Mus musculus: one gene and its partner. The protein of the gene in region 1 purifies or fractionates together with the protein of each later gene. This does not show direct contact. Links are inferred from orthologs where the notes say so. Each region holds a gene or a part of one and is shown on either strand. Other genes may lie near its edges.

What was found.
Region 2: the proteins of Eif3b (region 1) and Eif3f purify together in Homo sapiens (affinity purification with mass spectrometry; 14 studies listed by BioGRID and IntAct, counting the BioPlex papers as one, with this or other methods). This does not show direct contact. The link is inferred for Mus musculus from reciprocal best matches to the Homo sapiens genes EIF3B and EIF3F.

What each region holds. Positions count from the first base shown.
Region 1 is NC_000071.6:140,439,798-140,443,309, forward strand, and holds part of Eif3b (eukaryotic translation initiation factor 3 subunit B), read left to right. Parts: intron 1-115; coding exon 116-254; intron 255-1,188; coding exon 1,189-1,314; intron 1,315-1,939; coding exon 1,940-2,017; intron 2,018-2,326; coding exon 2,327-2,435; intron 2,436-2,522; coding exon 2,523-2,626; 3' UTR 2,627-2,639; intron 2,640-3,076; 3' UTR 3,077-3,512.
Region 2 is NC_000073.6:108,933,119-108,937,223, forward strand, and holds the start of Eif3f (eukaryotic translation initiation factor 3 subunit F), read left to right. Parts: upstream 1-1,296; 5' UTR 1,297-1,313; coding exon 1,314-1,689; intron 1,690-4,105. UniProt on the Homo sapiens protein: Component of the eukaryotic translation initiation factor 3 (eIF-3) complex, which is required for several steps in the initiation of protein synthesis.

The DNA of each region.
Region 1 (3,512 bases):
CAGAGTCCTCCATCCTTTCTCACCCTGTGACTCAGTTCTCAGTTGTGGTGAGGGGCATTGGACTCCCGGTGGGGGTACAGGGGATTGTGGGATCAGCTGCCCTGTCACCCCACAGCATGAACGGTGCCTTGGCGTTTGTCGACACTTCAGACTGCACCGTCATGAACATTGCAGAGCACTACATGGCCTCCGATGTTGAATGGGACCCAACTGGCCGCTACGTGGTTACCTCTGTGTCGTGGTGGAGCCACAAGGTAGAAGATGGCAGGTGCTGGGCCCTTAGAGAACGAAACCTCTCAAGGCTGGTGACAGAAACTGTTCCTGTGGGGCTGTTATATCCAGGGATCCCAAGCTGAGGGCATTATTCACAAACCTCGCGCAGCTGAGGGGTCAGCTACCAGAGCATTGGGCATGTCTGCTTGGCTGGGCCTGCTGGAGCACTGTGCCTGTGTTTACTGTTAAGTAGACAGTTGAACCAGTCCATGAAAACAAAACCTGTGAGCTCAGAGGGCTCCAGCTGATGAGATGTGACCCCTTGCTTCCCAGAGTCCTTGGGTAGTGTCTGGAATAGCACTCTATACTCAGGACAGGATGTGCTGTCTAGGACCCATCCCAACACTTATGTAGCACATTGTAGGACTGGCAATGTCAGTGCATAGCATAGCACCTGCCTGGGTTCCATCCCAGCATCTCCCACCCCCAAAAGGGCCGAGGGGAAGGAAGTGAGAGTCTTTAAAGCCTATGTGGGGCTGTTCCATTCAGTTCACAAAGCCCCTGAAGAGATGGTTGGCAGCAAGGAGCCCAGCATTTGAGTTGAGGCGGAGCTCCTGGGAGGCAGAGGCAGGCGGATTTCTGAGTTCGAGGCCAGCCTGGTCTACAGAGAGGGTTCCAGGACAGCCAGGGCTACACAGAGAGAATCTGTCTCTAGAATCTTGCGGAGAAAGCTAAGCTGAAGTTGCTGCTGTTCTCATTGGCACTGCTGTGAGAGTTTCTTGTCATAGACCAGTGGGTGACGAGCAGGCCCAGGATCCTTGCAGCATTGTTTGCTAGCCATCTTTTCTGCTGGAGGGGGAACACAGCCAGGTGCAGGTGTTTTTGTCCAGAGCTCAGGTTGGTGCTGTGGCTGCTAAGAGTAACGGTCCAGGGCAGCCTTGCACATTTTGCATGATGGTTCCCACTGCCCTCTAGGTGGACAATGCTTACTGGCTGTGGACCTTCCAAGGTCGCCTTCTGCAGAAGAACAACAAGGACCGCTTCTGCCAGCTGCTCTGGAGACCAAGGCCCCCAACACTCCTCAGCCAGGATCAGATAAAGGTCTGTGGTCCCTGCCTGGTTGGGGTAAGGGAACTGTTGTGGCACTGAAGGAAACCAAGCATTTGTCCTGTGACTGGACAGGGGCAGTCAATGGAGAGTGGAGGTAGGACGTGGAGAGGGCTCTGAAGAGATGCAGGGCCAATGAGACCTGACCCAAAGCCATGTTAGGTTAGGCAGTGCTTATAATCCCAGTAGGCTGAGGCAGGAGGATGGTGAGTTCTTTCCAGACTCTGACATATAGCAATAGGATGATCCTGCCTGTGTCCTCTGCTCCCCTCCCCTTGCACCTTCTTCCCCCCCACCCCCCCACCCCCCCACCCCCGACTTCAGAATACCCATGATAGTCTGTTTAAGCCAGACAGGCTATAAGCAAGTTCCAGTGGGATTGGAAGAGCTAAGAAGGGGTTATGTAATGGGATAGGTTTGTGGTATTAGGTCAGAGCTGGGAGTGACTCACCTTAGGAATCATCTCCATGAGGTGAGACTCGCCAGCTGGCCATGCTGGTGCCCTGGGGCTGAATCCTCTTAGTCCTGGAGGCTGTCACTGCACACTGGCATCTTTAAAGGCAGCAGTTGGGAATCTTGCTTTGAAGGCTCAATCCTGAGAGACTTGTCTTGGTTTCAGCAAATTAAAAAGGATCTGAAGAAGTACTCCAAGATCTTTGAGCAGAAGGATCGCTTGAGCCAGTCCAAAGCTTCAAAGGTGAGCCTGAGGGATGCTCACAGGAGCCTGATCTGGCTTGTTCTCCGGATGTGAAGGTGAACGAACTAGCAATGGGGAGCAGAAGGCCAGCACCCACAACACTGAGTGAAGGCTAGCTTTTTCTTGCAAGAAGCAGGGGGGAGTATGATTAGGAAGAGGAACGAGGGCCCCGCTTAAGGGAGGTTCTGTGGAAGGCTTGCCCAGTGCACAAGCACTGACATCTTCCAGACTTCTTCACCAGTGGTTGCTAGATATGGTGGGGTCATTGTCATTGAGCAAGAATGTCCTACAACCTTCCCTACCTGACAGGAACTGGTGGAAAGAAGGCGGACCATGATGGAGGACTTCCGGCAATACCGGAAAATGGCCCAGGAACTCTACATGAAGCAGAAGAACGAGCGTCTAGAGCTACGAGGAGGTAACCAAGCTTCTGGGCTTGTCTGCAAGTGCAGTGGTTCCCCGAGAGGCCGTGTCCCAGGGGTCAGTCTATTGTCTGTTCTCTCAGGGGTGGACACTGACGAGCTGGACAGCAACGTGGATGACTGGGAGGAAGAGACCATTGAGTTTTTTGTCACCGAGGAAGTCATTCCTCTGGGAAGTCAGGAGTGATCTCAGCACTGTGGTAAGATCTGTGAACAAGAAACTAGGAATGAGGGTCTGCTGACGAGCCCTGGCTGCTTGTTAGACCACCACATAGAGGACATCCCAGGAGGGTGGCAGTGCTGCTGCTAGTGGGTGCTAGGGAGCTTGGGGAGAAGCAGAGGCGGGCATGGCCATCTCCAGAGGTCAGGGACAGCACTGTCACCATGTTGATATTGTTGGTGCAGGACGGAGTGCCTACCTGCCTGCCTGCCTGCCTGCCTGCCTGCCTGCCTGCCTGCCTGCCTGCATGTGGTATTGCTTGGTACTGGGCTCCTTCAGGAACCATGAGAGAGAGGGTGGGGGGGGAGAGGGCGAGCGTGAGCGCTAAGCCTCTCATGGCATGGAGCCTGCTCAGTGAAGAGTCCGGCTGTGCTCCCTTGCTTTGTGTCTGACTAAATGGTGGTTCATCTGTTGCAGTGTCACCGTGCCGTGCCCAGGATCCGAGGCCACCCTTCACGGCGAGCCTCGTGCTGGGCTCTTACCTGTGCTTTCTTGCTCTGGACTGCGAGTGCACCCAGGGTTCTTCTATCCCGACACAGCTCTGTGCCTTCAGCCCCAGGTCCACAGCGGGGACACTCGAGCCTCTGCTCTCACCTTGCCCTGTTTGGGTTTTTATCAGCCGTGTCTGCATTGGAGCCTCACTGCAGTGTTCCTGGTGGCTCCTCTTAACTCCTGCTGCTGTCCATGGGGTTTCCAGAGCCTTCACCTACAGCTCAGTGGGGTTTCCATTCACGGACTTGCTGTTCCTGTGGGCCAGTGTCGTGTGGCCTGGAGACCATCAGGAGTCTGCACACCCACCACTTACTTGTGCCAGAAACTCTGGAGGCACCCACACCTCCCACCTGTTCAGGTT
Region 2 (4,105 bases), on another chromosome or scaffold:
TGAAAATATTTATTTATCTATTACACACACACACACACTGTCCCTATCTTCAGACACACCAGAAGGAGGCATCAGATCCTATTACAAATGATTGTAAGCCACTGTGTAGTTGCTGGGAATTGAACTTAGGACCTTTGGAAGAGGTTATTGCAGAGAATCTGCGTTGAGGTTCTAGCAAGGGGAAGGGGTTGGTTGGTGGCTTACAGCTACTCACAACTCTAGTTGTGTTCCTAACCGCTGAGCCATCTCTCCAGTACCAGCATAGGAGTCTTCATAATTAGCTCCTGGCCCTGCTTAGAGATCTATCCTTTCTTTTGATAATGCCATTTAACCACCAAATTCTTTCTTTAAATGTACTAGTCTTGCTCTCATTCACCTTAAGCCCTCTACATGAACTGTTCACTCCACCAGAAGAGCTCTCCCTACAAAACCCCAAATAATAGTTGGCTGCCTGAATTCTTCAAGTTTCCACTCCAACTTGATACCCTCATTGTATCCTACTCTAACCCTTCATAATCTTTCATGCTCTCATAACCTCCACTGATCATTTCTTTCTCATAGCACAGTCAAATAGTAATAATAATTTACTGTGTATCGAAGCACTTTCTAACCTAATGTAGGATTTAGTCCTTTTCTCTCCCCCAAAGAGAATGCAACCCTTTGCTATTTAGTTCACTTATATACCCTAGCATATAAGAGAGAGTCTGGTGCATATTAAGCATTTAAATTGTTGAATGAATATGCCTCCCTAATGATGCCTTATGAAGCCATCACAAATAAAGCACTATTGGTCAGGCATGATGATTCCTGCCTATAGTCCTAGCATTCGGGAAGCAGAGGCAGGAAAGTTGAGGTAAGTTCCAGGCCAACCTAACCTATATGGCTAGGCGTGGAATGCAAAGTAGATCCTGAGTCCAAATTTTAATTCATTGATTAATAAGTTAAATGGATGTAACAGTGAATCCCCTGTAAGACTGATATTTAATATCCATTTAAGTCTTAAACAATTGCGACCTTTACACTACTCTGTGCCGCCACCTGGTGGCAACTGTGTAGATTGCTAGTTGCTTCCTCCCCATTCCCACCCCAGGAAGTCCTAAAGTTACTAGGAACTACTCTGGACTCCTACACACTGAGTGCGCATCGGACAGAAATTAAAGCGCACACCGCGCACTAAAACTTACAACTAGCCGGAAATTTCATGTCCAATAGTCATCAAGATATGATTCACGTGGTATAAATTTAGCCAATCAAATTTCTAATTCCTCCAACTCACGCTCTTCTGTTCTAGGCTCTCTCTCTTTCTCGGCAAGATGGCTTCTCCGGCCGTACCGGCTAATGTCCCTCCTGCCACTGCAGCCGCAGCCCCGGCGCCGGTCGTCACCGCAGCCCCGGCTTCAGCCCCGACCCCATCCACGCCAGCTCCGACACCGGCTGCGACTCCCGCTGCGTCCCCGGCGCCCGTCTCGTCTGATCCTGCTGTAGCTGCGCCTGCAGCCCCGGGCCAGACCCCAGCCTCCGCGCCAGCCCCAGCGCAGACGCCGGCGCCTTCGCAGCCCGGGCCCGCCCTCCCGGGGCCTTTCCCGGGCGGCCGCGTGGTCAGGCTACACCCCGTCATTTTGGCCTCGATCGTGGACAGCTACGAACGCCGCAACGAGGGAGCTGCCCGAGTTATTGGAACCCTGTTGGGTGAGTTCTGGGGAAATTAATGTTTTCTTCCTGTGCATCTTACTATTCCTCTCGTTCCATCGCCCCTGAACTCTTAGCCTGTTTCTCTTTTTGCACCTTCCTACTGTGGCTTGCCTTCCCGAGTGATCTGAATTCAGCCGAATTGCCGTTAAGCCACAGAAATGTGCAAGGAGTAGGTATAAGCTATTGCGTAGTTTGTGATACTTGATCTACATGTTATTTTATACTCCCAACAACGTGGTACTGAGAGGGCATGCTGCCAAAAATGAAAGCTCAAATGACAGCAAGTTCAAAGCCCTTGACCCGTTAAACAGAGTACCCACATGCCCTCTCTTATGCAGTGACCTACCACCACCCCAGCACAAACAGAAAGTGCCCACCACCCATGTTAGGGAAGAGGATGTGTCAGAAGCTTCCTCCAACTCAAATAAACCAGGTATATTTGTAACATATTCTGGATATATAATATCTAGCTTTCCTAAACTTTTCAGACAGGCACGTGTCCCAAGGTTTTCCTACATACTGGTTCATAAACCCTAGATATGCTCAGCTCCAAGTTCTACCCCCACCCCCAACCCCCACCTCACTCCTCTGATTTTTCATTTGGACACAGACTGTTGTTGTATTATGTGTCCGTCGCTAACCTTCAAGATGAAGAGAAGCCAACTATCTGAAGAGGTTGGCATCCCAGGCTTACGGGAGGGTGGCAGGAAGTGAAGCCCTCAGTGGTTTGGTCACCTGCCTGTGGGGCAGGACTCACAGGGAGCTGAGAAGACTCCTCCAGGCTGGTCTCTGCAGAGGCCCATGACCAGCACTCATTCCAGAGCCGAGGCAGGGGAAACTAGAGAACATGCCTGCTTTGTGGAAAGTAGTAGACCTGAGTTGGGCCTGGACAGCAGATTGAGGGCTGAAGCAGAGCACCTGCAAAGGGGAGGCAGAGAGAGGCAGAGAGTGGACGCAAGGAAATAGAGCTCGCAGGTCAAGGCGTGACAGAACTGCAGCATGAGAGGGGTTTGGGTGAGTTCTAGAGCTGCCGTTGTGCATACAAGAAGAAAGGACAGAGTGTGGCTTGGGCTTGGTATTCCTTGTGAGGTGCCCCTGAGTGTACCAGTGGGTTGGTCAAGTAGAAAATTGAGTAAGCAGGGCTGCCAGGGCGCTTCACTGCCTGCCCGTGCTTCACTTCCCAGAGCCCACATGATGGAAGGAGAAAACCTGCAGACGGTCCTCTGACTTCCATGGGCAAGCAGTTGCACATCCATAATTAATCAGTATAAAAGAAAGGCAAATTTTAACAGTACGTGTGAAGATGCAAATGTAAAGAGGTGTGGGCAAGTATGCCCTAGCCCCCAGAAGATAAGTAACTGAAATAAAGAGGTAGATGTACTCACCTACCACAGGGATTGGTAGCTGTGTTTTTAAAAAAAGTCAGGGAATATTTTCAGCTTTGTGTGCAGTCTGTCACAGCTACTCAACTCTGCCCTTGTAGCAGGAAAAGAGCCATAAATAATGCAAAAGAGATTGGGCACATAAACATGAACTGAAGTGTTTCTGGGCCAGTACTTGACCTAGAAAAGAAGCATAGAACAAAAACTGGGAACACTAACAATGCTGAAACCCTGAGGTGTCAGAGGAGCTAACAGATTAGGAAGAGAAGGGGAAAAGCTAGAAGAGACTGGTATCTTGGAGGCCCTAGGAGAAAAGGCTCTGAAATGGGGGAAGCAGTCACAGTGGTCAAAGTTGGTGAGTGTTCAGATGACAGAAGGTATACCTGTGGGTTAAGAACCTTGTCTTAGGGTTCCATTGCTGTGAACAGACACCATGACCAAGGCAGCATTTCACTGTGGCTGCTTACTGGTTCTGAGGTTCAGTCCATTATCATCAAGGTGGGAAGCATGGCAGCATCCAGGCGGGCATGGCACTGGAGAAGGAGCTGAGAGTTCCATGTCTTATTCAAGGGAACCCAGAAGAAGACTGGGCTTCGTCCCACCCGGCTAGAAGGAGGGTCTCAAAGCCCACTCCCACAGTGGCACACCTAGTCCAACAAGGCCATACCTCCTGTTAGCACCACTCTCTGGGCCAAGCATATTCAAACCACCACATAGTTCAGAAAATGAAACCATAACGCTAGCCAACAAAAGACAACACTAGCAGAGACATGTTACAAGGGGTAGGGGGTGAGGAACTTAAAGGAAGGTACCAGGACATCAAGTGAGAATAGTTGGGACCTATGGCTCAGTGAGATCCAGTAACTAATGTGAGAGTTAGGGGTGTGAGAGGAAGTCTGGTAAGAAAACCTCTGGGGGTGGAATGACCCTTTCACAGAAGATCATCAGAAAACACAAGTATTTCAATTACATTTATAACAGTAGCAAAATTGTAGTTATGAATTATCAATGAAAATAATTTTATGGTTAAG